Linked DNA regions of Neodiprion lecontei. The protein of the gene in region 2 interacts with the protein of the main gene of each other region in a pairwise test. Links are inferred from orthologs where the notes say so. Each region holds a gene or a part of one and is shown on either strand. Other genes may lie near its edges. The genes, in order: ras suppressor protein 1 and LIM and senescent cell antigen-like-containing domain protein 1.

Evidence for each region.
Region 1: the proteins of LIM and senescent cell antigen-like-containing domain protein 1 (region 2) and ras suppressor protein 1 interact in a two-hybrid assay, tested with the Caenorhabditis elegans proteins (2 studies listed by BioGRID). The link is inferred for Neodiprion lecontei from reciprocal best matches to the Caenorhabditis elegans genes unc-97 and rsu-1.

Annotation. Positions count from the first base shown.
Region 1 is NC_060262.1:32,279,308-32,284,720, reverse strand, and holds ras suppressor protein 1, read right to left. Parts: upstream 3,761-5,413; 5' UTR 3,729-3,760; coding exon 3,563-3,728; intron 3,094-3,562; coding exon 3,043-3,093; intron 2,950-3,042; coding exon 2,829-2,949; intron 2,453-2,828; coding exon 2,334-2,452; intron 2,245-2,333; coding exon 2,162-2,244; intron 2,071-2,161; coding exon 1,956-2,070; intron 1,708-1,955; coding exon 1,575-1,707; intron 1,394-1,574; coding exon 1,309-1,393; 3' UTR 762-1,308; downstream 1-761. Other genes in the region: uncharacterized protein LOC107224057, read right to left, coding at 1-70, 206-275.
Region 2 is NC_060263.1:9,168,598-9,175,187, reverse strand, and holds LIM and senescent cell antigen-like-containing domain protein 1, read right to left. Parts: upstream 4,674-6,590; 5' UTR 3,545-4,673; coding exon 3,264-3,544; intron 3,071-3,263; coding exon 2,957-3,070; intron 2,763-2,956; coding exon 2,650-2,762; intron 2,463-2,649; coding exon 2,270-2,462; intron 2,152-2,269; coding exon 2,010-2,151; intron 1,724-2,009; coding exon 1,465-1,723; intron 822-1,464; coding exon 622-821; 3' UTR 590-621; downstream 1-589. UniProt on the Caenorhabditis elegans protein: Component of an integrin containing attachment complex, which is required for muscle development and maintenance. Probably function in adherens junction.

The DNA.
Region 1 (5,413 bases), on a different chromosome or scaffold from region 2:
GAAGATTCTTTTCCATCCCCTCTACATTTTGGACAGGTCGCCTTTTCCATTGTTATCTCTAGAGATTCATCTGGCAAGAGATTGCAATGAAAAAAACATTATTAACAAGTTCAAAAAATTATATATATTTCTATTGACAATCGTCTACAATCTGATTCGTCAAATATAGATTGGCAATATGTAACATTTTACAATTTCAAATTACCTTCTTTAGACTGATTTTTCAAATATTCCTCTCTCGCAAGTTTCAGGGTTTTCTGTTTTAATCGTGCCATTCTACGTACACGTAAGGATTGAGCATATACAAAAATTACATTGCAGCACCTATGGCTCAACTAAAGAACTGGTAAGTATTGTACGTACTTGTTTTCTATACCGACAAATGATTTCGTTGCAGTTTTCTGCATCTTGATTGAAGCCAAACTGCTAACATAGTTGTTAACACAAGCTTCATAAATATTACAATTCTCGACTGTAACATGTCAACGGTACGAACTGAAAACACGGTTTTGCATTTCTACTGAAGCTATTGACGCAAAATAGTTGAACGTGTACGTTTTATGATGTGAAATTGTTTATTGAAACCCCGTCATTAAATCATAAATAATAAAAATTTTCCAAGTCATTTTTTCTTAATAGGTAGTTTAATACATAAAGTACAATTTAGAATGACATACACTTATAGATGAGTGAATTGTTGTGCGTGCCAATTAGAGGCTCAACAAGTGTAATGTGAAAGATATCCACTATAGATCAATAAATTATTTGCACCATCATATTTATTCATTTCATATTAATAGTAGGTAATTAAAATGCACGAAGTGTTACAACTTGGCGGAGATTCATTTTGCGCATCAATTTAAGATTCTCATCAAAGCTGGATAAAATTTTTATCGTAAACGCAGTCAGAGTTCGATTTCTTAGCATTATTACATTACAGAAATAAATTACGACTGTAACCTGTATGAGCAAGAATAACTTAACGGAAAAAATTAATACCCGTGGCTATGGTGAATTTCATTTGTTAATGTATTAAAACATTATAGACTCACCGAAATATTCTACATATTTAATTTAGTTTTAAATTTGTTATAAAAAATATAAGCATAACATTAATAAAAAAATATTAATACAAGTAACGATTCAGAATTTTAAGGCAGTTGACTTGGCATAAGGCACCACGTGATCTGATATATCTGATGATCAATTTGTGGTAATGTACAAATTAATAAATTTAGATATATTAACGATTAGTCATTGGCATTAAAACTGTAATTATATAAGTTGATTTTGTCACATTAATCTCATTTAGCGAGCACGAGAGATTTTCTTGCTTTTATCATTCTCAATTGGTGGCGGAGGTCCTTTTGCACTGAGGTGACGATTATAGAGGCTGTAAAAATAAAATAATAATTACCATCTATTGTTTAGCTGGATATTTTACTTGAAAAATTTAACGTATTTCCCTATTATTACAGGAACTTGTAGGTCTGAAAATGGGCCTAGAACCATCACACATTCGATAATGGATGGGTATACTGATTAATTGTTATTCATTTTCCAATTACACTTACTATCTGTAGGTCTCCGAACGAATATAATCAATCACGTGAGAAATTCCCACTTGCAATTGATCTCCAATAGGGGTAACCCAAGGATTGAATTCCATTCTGAACACTGCTTTGTTACTCACCAAATCTAAATTACCTGTGAAGTAAGTTTAAAACTATTAAAGTTACCATACAGCTTATCACAGGGCTAGTCACCTACATTCTGCTAGGAAAAATGAATAAAGAGAAAGCATTCACGAGCTCAGCAATACAAGTTATACAGCAATAGGATACATTTGGGACGACCCGCGTATGTAAGGCAATTCAAATTTATAGGTAGTTAAGAATTTCACCGATACAAGTATACTGATATGGTACGCAATTAGCTACAGAGTATCAATTTACCTATCTCTGGTGGTAAAACTGTTAGTCGGTTGCCTTGAATGTGAAGTTCTCGAAGTCGGGTAAGTTCGCCAATTTCCTTAGGTAGCTCAATCAGATCATTTTCCCTGAGCACAAGCTGTAAAATAAATTATTATTCAGTATATTTCGTAGTTTATCAGTGTTGCTTATGAGTATTCTCATTTCATACAGTATGATGGAATTATTACAATTTGCAGATTTTTCAACTGGCCAATCTCAGGGGGCAGGTATTCAAAATCGTTATCGGCAAGATACAATGCTCTCAAGGTCTCTGGAGGAAACAAAGTAGAATTAGGGTATGCATTGTGCATATAATCAATAATGAATTAATTATTGTAATGTATGAAATTAATTGATTACCCATCATAAAAAAGTTTCCAGGTAAATTTTCTTCACTCAAATTATTATATGTGAGATCCAAGACCTCGAGCACTGGGAAGGCACCAAACCCTCGTGGAAGGGAATCTAATCTATTCATTCTGAAAAATAGGATAACATACTATTTAGAATTAGAAGCCTATTACCTGTTTGTGTTTTTTTCTTAGAATATAAAGGTTTTTATCAAGTAACAGATACAAGTTGGTGTTGATTCAGCGATACAAAATGAAATTGATTCAACATAAGTAGCTAGGCTATAAGTTCAAAAAATGTTGCATTGAAGTTATCGTCCTTATCATCATAGACAATCATTGCAGATTTTATTTTCAATAACATACAGACTAGAATTCATGTACAATATAAACAAAAAATATAAACAGAAGTGGATATACCGAGATCAAAATAGCGTTAGTTAAAATTATCAATGTAACTATGTACATTTTGAAATATCGTCTTTATCGCCGCGCAGTTACGTACCCAACGTTGAGGATTCTTAACTTAGGCATTTGTGATAAGGAAATTGGAAGTTCAGTGATGTGATTATTGAACAGGTTCAAAATTTCCAAATTGATTAAATTTGCCAAACCAGGTGGAACAACTGAAAAATTATCATTCCATTACTTGCTGTGACATGCATAATACGGTAGGATCGAACAGGTTGGCAATACATGAATTTTCTCTACATATGTACCTTGAAGTTTATTGTGACTGAGCGTCAGCCTGGTTATCTGCAGCATATTCACTGAAAAAATACAATTCAAAATACATGCAAAATTATGAAGAATGACACGATAAGATTAATGATAATTCGGTTTCGATGTTGTAATATATAGTAGTCATTGTATGAAGAGTTCAAACAAGAAATAGTTTGAACAAGTACAAAGATGATCTGAAAATTATGATCAGCTGTATTTGAAAGGACTATTTTTACGCAATAAACATAGGTTGTTGAATGATATGCGATATATGGTTAATGAGTTTTTAAGTTTACATTTTTTCCCTAAATGAGCATCCAGAACTTAATTGGGAAATAAATATAAGGAAATCTGATCAACAGTAACAGCACGTATTTGTATAAATAGTACAGGGCTGTCCACGCCCATGAGTAGCCCTAATGGCAGTGTGTAGTTTTGTTGGTGCAAAAAACCAGTCTTGACAAGTTGCCTAATTTGGCAATGATCAAGTGAAGGGTGCAAGCGTATTTTACTCACGCAGTCCGGGCATTTCCTCGAATGTGGAAATGCCCTTATCAGCCAAATCCAGCTCAGGATTTTGGTTTTCTCGGGCCTCATCGATTACTTTCTTTGCCTTTGACATCCTCGAATTCGGAATACACGATACTGGAGTCTGATTCATTGCGCGCGCACACACGGTCATACGTATTTTCAGATCAGAGAAACTTACTTACACATGCCTAATACACATGCCTCATGTGCATGAGCTACTGCAGTCGATAAAACAGAATTTACCGCGGTGACGACGTGAAACAAATTAAGAGACGAGTACGATTTATGTTACCATCAGAAACAACGTTTGTAATTACCCGTCGAATTTGGATCAGAATAACTAAATTATTGCTGACTTATGTTCTTTCCGTCTGACGAATGAATATTAGTTTCATTGATGCGTGGGGCTTATCTTTGTAAATTGCACCTGTTTGTCCGTCAACCTCTTGGATATTCTTCCTTACCCACCAAATTTCAGTACAAGCTCTCGTTAAAACCCTTTCTAACTGTTTACAGTTTTATTGCACATTTTAGATCACGATATTTCAGACTACGCGTAGTTATAATTTAAGTGTCTCTGTGAAATTGTTTCAGCTAATTGATTGCTGTTGTAAAATTTGCGGTTAGCTTTTTCCCTCATTTTGCAGTGAATTTGTATAAGAATATATTTCATACCTCGACGATTGTAATACGATAACATTATGAAAAATGGGGGCAATTTTTTTTGTGTTCCTGCAAGTATAGTATCGTACTTTACCGTAGCGTATTACTCGGTAACCATAAGAGAGTAATAAAGTCATTCAAATTTTTTAATTAAATCGGATTTCTGGTTTTCAGCATGTTATCTTATTATCAGCACATGGAAGTTCTTCTCCTTCCGCATAATTAGATACATGAAGTGTCAACAACAGTAAATTATAGAAATTAATCTAAAAATTAATAAACAAACATTTGTTGAAAAATTTTTGGGCCAGAGTTAACTCATATTACAGTACAATAACAACACCGTAATATTAATTATTACAATCATGTAAAATATCACAACGCTTAACATTGGTTTCACAAGTCAAACGTAACTTCTTGTAAAAAAAGAAAAAAAAAAAACTTATCAATTCTTCTGCGTGACGTTCTTAAAGTAACCCAAACCATTAAAATAGTTATAGTTGCTACAGTAACGCCTGCATTTCTTTTATACAACTCTGGAGATGTTTGAAACCAAGGGTTGCTTAAGTTGTGTTACAATTATTGGAGTTGTCGGAAAAACTGGATAATTTCTTCGAGTCCACGCCAGAAATAAATATATTGGTGCGACGAATTTAGGAAAGGTAAATAACAGGTAAAAAAAAATACAGGGTTTACTGTGCTTGATGCATTTATGTTACGAATATTTCACATAGTGTGACTCCGACCTTGGCATTAAGTGACGAGAAAAAATTGAAGTAATATACACATGAGAAAAATCATTTCAAACATTCGATATTAACTATGATTATTTATTACCTACAATTTAATAAATTATTATTTTCTAGCAGTAACACTGGTATCGATATTTCAAAATTGTCACATTAATACCTAATTTAAGTTTATCATTATTAGCAAAAATAATGAGCTGCATGAATCACCAGACTAATTATCGTTTTTGAAATATGTGTATGTCGATACAGTAAATGCGTGAAACTCAAGAAATATACAGAACTCAATTTATGCGATGGAATCTATAAGCTCCTATTCAGTATCTAGATTTCATAATAACTAGCATTTATATAGCTGATACACTTTTTTAGTTCGTTGCCAGTAGTTATTATTACCAAACGACGTGTTACATTGCCAATCGTG
Region 2 (6,590 bases):
AACATAACAATTTGATTTATAGAAAAGCACCATTAAAAATTTACTAAGGACTCCCACTATAAAGTGATGAAAATATTCACAGATCAGCATTATAATGTATATTGTGTGGATACTGTATACGTGTAAAATTTCTGTTTGTATAATTATTTGTGTAGTATATTATGATGCATTAATAACTCGTCAGTCAAATGTAAGATAATTACTGCGAATTATGATAAGCGATACTTTTTCTATTCCTAAGCTAGGTGTAAGGCACGAACATTTGAGAATGCTTCAATATTAGATCGAAATGGTTGTTCATCCTCTAGGTATACTTGGAAAAATCCGAATATCAGAATGCGAACAGTACATATCGAATAATTAGAAGATGCGCGTTAGTTGGCCAAGTAATATTTTTCCATTACGTGATAAATATTTACTTAAAAATAAAGTCAGTTATATAAAATATTTTTGTAGTCTTGGGGACAAATTTAATCAATGTTACGTTTTACTTTGATTACTTCTTCAAAGAATGATCTTTGTCTAATGTAATTTTAAACGGCAATTGCTAAGCACAATAAATATATAAACATACATGTACTTTTTTTTAAACACATCTGGTAAAAGTATTTTATTATTTGTTTAGGCAGGTATTTTTTTTGGATTTAAATCGTACATACGACGCATACGCCTTTTCAATTCCTGGGGAAATTTCTCGTAGCATTTCTTGCAAGCGGGTTTTAAGTCAAATTCGAAGAATTTTGTCTTTTGGTTCATCTTTTGGTCACAAAATGCGCAAGCAAAATGATGTACGCACCATGCTTTGTTTAATGCCGTAAAAACTGCAAATAAAATGGAATAAAGAATGATTTGTAAAAAACTTACAACTTAATTTTAATTATAAACATATGAGGCTTGTCGAATTATAAATGTAATTCTGTTGCTGCGAATTTTATTAAACTATGATGAAAGTAAACTGCAGCAATTTACTAATCAGAAGATTAACATAAATATAAATTATTGTGACATTTATTCGAATAATACTCCTCGTAAAGTTATGGTTCAATTTGTTATTTAGGTATAATAATATAGTACTAGACTCTCGTAATTTGCAATAAGAAAAAGTGCTTTCACTAATTTGCAAGAAGACAAAGTTTGATAGTAATTATTCTACTATTTTGCAACGAATTGTAAGTGAAATTCAATTGTCTAATACTTTTCTAGTATTTGATTGGCAAAAATTTAATTGCTGGTAATTATTGGAAAGTATCCACTGCAGACTAGTTGAAAATTTTACTGGAAATTAGAACAAGGTGCTATCTACTAAATGTTATAAACGATAGGCACTCATGCTGAAGTAATCCAATCAAAGAAAGATTGGGTCAATAAATAAGGAAACGACTTAGGAGTAATCAAAGAATCAAAGTGACCACTGTATGATATTCGAAATCTTTACCAAGTTGTAAAAAAACAATAAAAACTTACCATCTCCAGCAATTACTTGGTTGCAAACAAAACATAGGTTTCCAAAGAGCTGGTGATAATGAGTCTCACAGTAAGCAAGGCCCTTTTTCTCGTAGTGACGATGACCTAAGAATGGCTTCTCGCACTTTGCACAAACAAAGTGTTCCACGTGCCAATGTTTTCCCAAGGCAGTGACAACTCTTTCTTCTATCGGACGCCGGCAAGCTCCGCAGATCGGTATTCCCATTTTGTCGTGACATCTCAGACAATATAGTTCATTCTGTAAAATACATGATGTATGCATTTATATCAAGCAGGTATGTTAATGTTGTAGCATCTTTAAATCAGGAAATTAAAAGTAGGCATTTATCTCAGCAGATAGCTCTAATGTTATAATTGATGTAAAAAATATGAAAACAAATGAGACATGCGCCAGGCCGACTTTGAAGGGCTTTATTTTGTTGTCAGTCAATATAGGGTAGTGACAACATACGAGTATCGATATGAAACACAGCTGTTCAGCTGTGGCTTACGTATGAAAAGAAAAAAATTCAATGCCAAAATACCATCTCATTAGCCGCAAATCCAGGCCTGGACCTAACTTCTCTGGCATCAGCATTCAACTCAATCCCGCAAGCCGTGCAGTTGAAATGGTAGGGATGATATACTTCACCACGGAAACGCAGCGGTTTGTCGTCGATTATTCCACTATAGATAGAAATATTATTTAGTCAATGATTAGTAGAAAATTATACTACAATATACATATTCTAGTTATTTTTAAACTATCTGAATAACAAGAAAATTCTAAAAAATAAATACTTACTGGCATTGATGGCAGATATGCTTTCCAAGAGCCCCAGCTTTTATTCGAGCGTTACAGGTATGACACAATGCTCTTCCTTGGCATTTCATGAAACCAGTCTCTGCTAGTTCACCGCTACACTCCTCACAACGGAAGCAGCCAGGATGCCAGTTAGCATTCATGGCTTTGATTACTCTTCCAATGACAAATTCACCTGAAATTGAATTTGCCTCTAGAATGGATCTAGTTGAATGTTTATCTGAACGAAACTCAAGGAACTGTTTTCAATAATGTTAGTCGTATCACTCTTGACTTGACGATCCAGGAACAAGTGGCCGAACTAACGGAAAATATCTGACATATAACAAAACCTTATAATGAATCTTATGTATACAACTTACCACACTTGCCACAGCAAGGGGCGAATAGAACATGAAAATCATGTTCGCAATACTTTCTTCCTTCAAACTCATAGAAAATACCCTCGGGAAAAGGGCGAAAGCACTGTGCACAACTGTGAAAAGGAAAATCTGTATATATTATATCAAGAATCAAAATAGTTTGTGATCATTATATGTGAATTGATCGTTTGGAAAAATTCTCAATTTAAATAATTCTATCATAACTTTGCTGGAGACTAAAACTTCAACCATTGATAAACATTCCGGTGGTTTTATAGTTTCAATTCCATTCCAAAGTGTTACTCACACAAAACATTGCGGATGCCACAATTCTCCGCGAGAATTGACAATCTTCTCGTGCGGCTCGAATCCCTCGCGACAGCGGGAGCAGAACATGTCATCCAGAGACATCCCTGTGACTCTGTAATAAAATGAATGATATTAATGATGGAGAGAAATTTGCTGTCTTGGACATATAACATCATTCTGTATCAAAGTTTAATGGACCAATGATGTCACTGAATTTGGTTACAGAATATTCAGTGATTGCATGAAGTTGACGATTAAAATCAGTTAATAGAATAGTTAATGAGTATAATTCTTTTTCTATATACCCTGTCTTGTTTGTTGTTTGTTTTTTAAGGTCATTAGTGTCACAGTAAGCATTTTTAAAATTCCTTGGCGGGAGTTTAGGAGGTTTATCAAAACCCTTCCATTCAGCCAATTCTTCGTAGTCATATACAAAAGTAGATTGATTGCTGTTCGAGTCATTGGTAATTTCTTTCTCAACTAAATTTTCGCGGGATTGTGCACGCCTATTATATAATTTGCTGTGATCTAATGACTGTATTGATATAGACGTAGGAAATGGAAGAGTATCACTGTTTCGGGCCATTCTGAAGTCTTAAAAATTCAATGTAGCACATCGAAACTTCGTAATTGACAATAAAAAAACTTTAATCAAACCACAATTTAGCATTCAAGCTTTTCCATCCTTATTAAACACCATTCTTTTTACTTAACCAAAGAACGATTCAGTTGTTCGGGTATGTATGGATTGATATGTTATCTCGTAGTCGTCTCTGTTTGATATAATAGATAAAACTTCAGGGTAGATAAGAAGTGGATCGTCAGCTTTTCTAATACAGGTGCCAAATATTATTCCTCAAATAGAATCTGTTTTAGTTATACACCTACTTGCCACTCGGTGTAATAATTAATGCTGATTAAGCACAGCTGACTAACGGGCTTCAATATAATCATCATGTGAGTAATGCAATAGAATTGAGTTACATCACACAGCAGAAAAGTATATTCGGCGTCAAACAGTAAAATTGTAAAGCGTATCGAAGGTTAAAAAATCAAGTTGTTTCTGTTTAATTCTAAAATATGTTTGTACAGTTGACATGTTATTATAAAAACAATATGAATACCCAATCGTGATGAAATGCGCATAGTTTAAAACACATGAACAATGTCAAATAATACTTCTGAATATAAAATACCATTAACCTTCGATGAAATAAGTTTCTCTGGAGTAAATGAGACTTTGTAAGCTATCCAAGGTTACGAAATGATTAACAAACGGTTAAATATTCCATTGACATATATTCATTTGTTATGAGAACTTCGGATTTTAACGACCACTTGGATTCATGATCAAGCTGGATCAATGGATCGGTACTTTGGTAACATGAATCAGAACTGCATCTGACGCGGCAAATGTAAATATATCAATTAATATCTGGAGCTATCGTGTACTGAAATGTTCAAGTAGCACAGATTAATAAGTTCATACAATTTTATTAATACAACAATGAATGGGAGTGTACAGAATAATACATAAATTCCATGCCGAGATATCGGAGTAAAAAATGTTACGAAACATTTGGGTGGATTCAACATGTCATGAAGCAATTTTATTAGGGATTTATGAAAAGTTACTACAAAATGTGAATAAGGCGTGTTCACTTGATGTGTAATTCATTTTTTAAATTGATTTAAGCGATATATATGTAATTAAACTGGATGTGATAAGGTTTAGTGTATGTTAAGTCTATGAAATTGGATGAAGTCAATGCTAAAAATAGGCAACACAGCATTGCTTACCCTGGCATAATTTGTTTGGTGTGATACTTGAAAGAAGAAGATAATATATGGATTAGAAACTGAGGTGGGACTGGAGAATTTGGCTCCAGCACCCTGACACTCGTTATATTCGCCTCTTCGTTGTTTCTGCAATTAGAACGGGATTCACGGATACACAAAACTGCTCAGACGATTTTTACTTCTCGCACATGATCTCACATTATACGTATTATACACTGCGGTACGCGTCCCACCCAGTCGTTTTACATAAACGTACACTGCCATTCTTATCATCTAGCAACAATCGCGATTTGCGTATTCAAAGAAATATTTGTGAAACTACGTAATCCACGAAAAATATCTGGCTTACAAATATGTTTGTACACTACAGGTTATACCTATAAGCGGTATATAGATATTGGGTTACTTACCTAGTAGATAGTATACAAACAGACAACTTATAGTAACGATTAATTCGTTGTCATTAGCGAAGACTGGAGAAGCTTACACGCCCAATTCAGTAAAAATAATTATTTTCCGTTCTACCCATTCAGCCAATGAGACGACGGCGAATTAACTCTATCCTTTTAAAGATGTATATGTATGTATGGATAATCTGTGGGCGGATGTGGTGGCGAGATTTCGTGATTTCGTACTTTACTTCACGACTCCCAACAACTTACGACACCGATTTTCTTCGTATAATGCAGTTATAGTATAGGTATGTACAGCAGCGGTGTATGCTGAAACGAATCGAAGAACAGCTAACCTTACCCCCTAGCGCTTAGTGCTGGTTTTAAAGGTGTATGTAATCACGCGGCACATACACATGGAAGCAGTTTAACTATTTTTGAAATTCGACACATGCCCGCGCTCGCCATCTGACCAAGTAATATGAACTGTACAAATCTGCTGAACAAAGTAATAGCTGCTCAAAATGGAAAAGGTTACGATTAAGTGGAAAAAGATCCGGATTACGAAGACTTTTGCCGTTTGTCGTATAATTTCTGATTCAAATTATAGCACGATGAACCTCGGCAAAGTGATTTCTAAATATTTCTCAAATTATATTGTTATTTACTATAATGATATTATTATTTTTGTATCATATCGTTAATTTGTAACCTGAAATTCAAATAAATTAATAAGTAAAAATTTGCTGCCGCAACTATAACATATATGTCACCACGGGGTGAGAAATATAGTTAATCATTTTAAATATATACGTAGTCACATGTTTCAATTTGTTTCACCGTAATCGTTGACTGAAGATTGTTGCTGAAGACTGCTAAGGACAGTCAGCTGAATGGAGTATTTTGAACTGGAGCATAGCTCGAAGCAACTAGGCGAGGGATGCTAAGGGAATACTTAAGTACAGAAAGTTCTTACAGTTACCGACCCAAATAACATTGTAATCCTCGAATTCAAGAACGTCCGGTTTAACGGACGTTCATGAGCTCGGGTAAGTCCCATAAGCGAATTGGTAAGTGTAGGGCACTGCCATTACCCTCGCACTAGTTGTGCCCTTTTAGTTGCTTTAGAAGACTATTCGTAGCTGACTGGCTGTTTTTAGTAAACTTCAATGCTGTGATCTACGAGTCATTTAACGAGAAAATGAGAAACAGGGTATCCTGGTCGATTTCGACGTTGATCTCCAAATATCGAAGTCCACGTATCTCAAACACAAGAAAGGGATTAACCACCCCATTCTATACACTATTCTGAATAAGAACACCCCAATACATTTTCATTTAATGCGTAAATGAAGAAAGAGCATGGATTATACGAAACTATTGGGAGTTCGTAGAATTCATGACATTTCCTTACCTCTGGGTCAAATGAAAATGATTGAA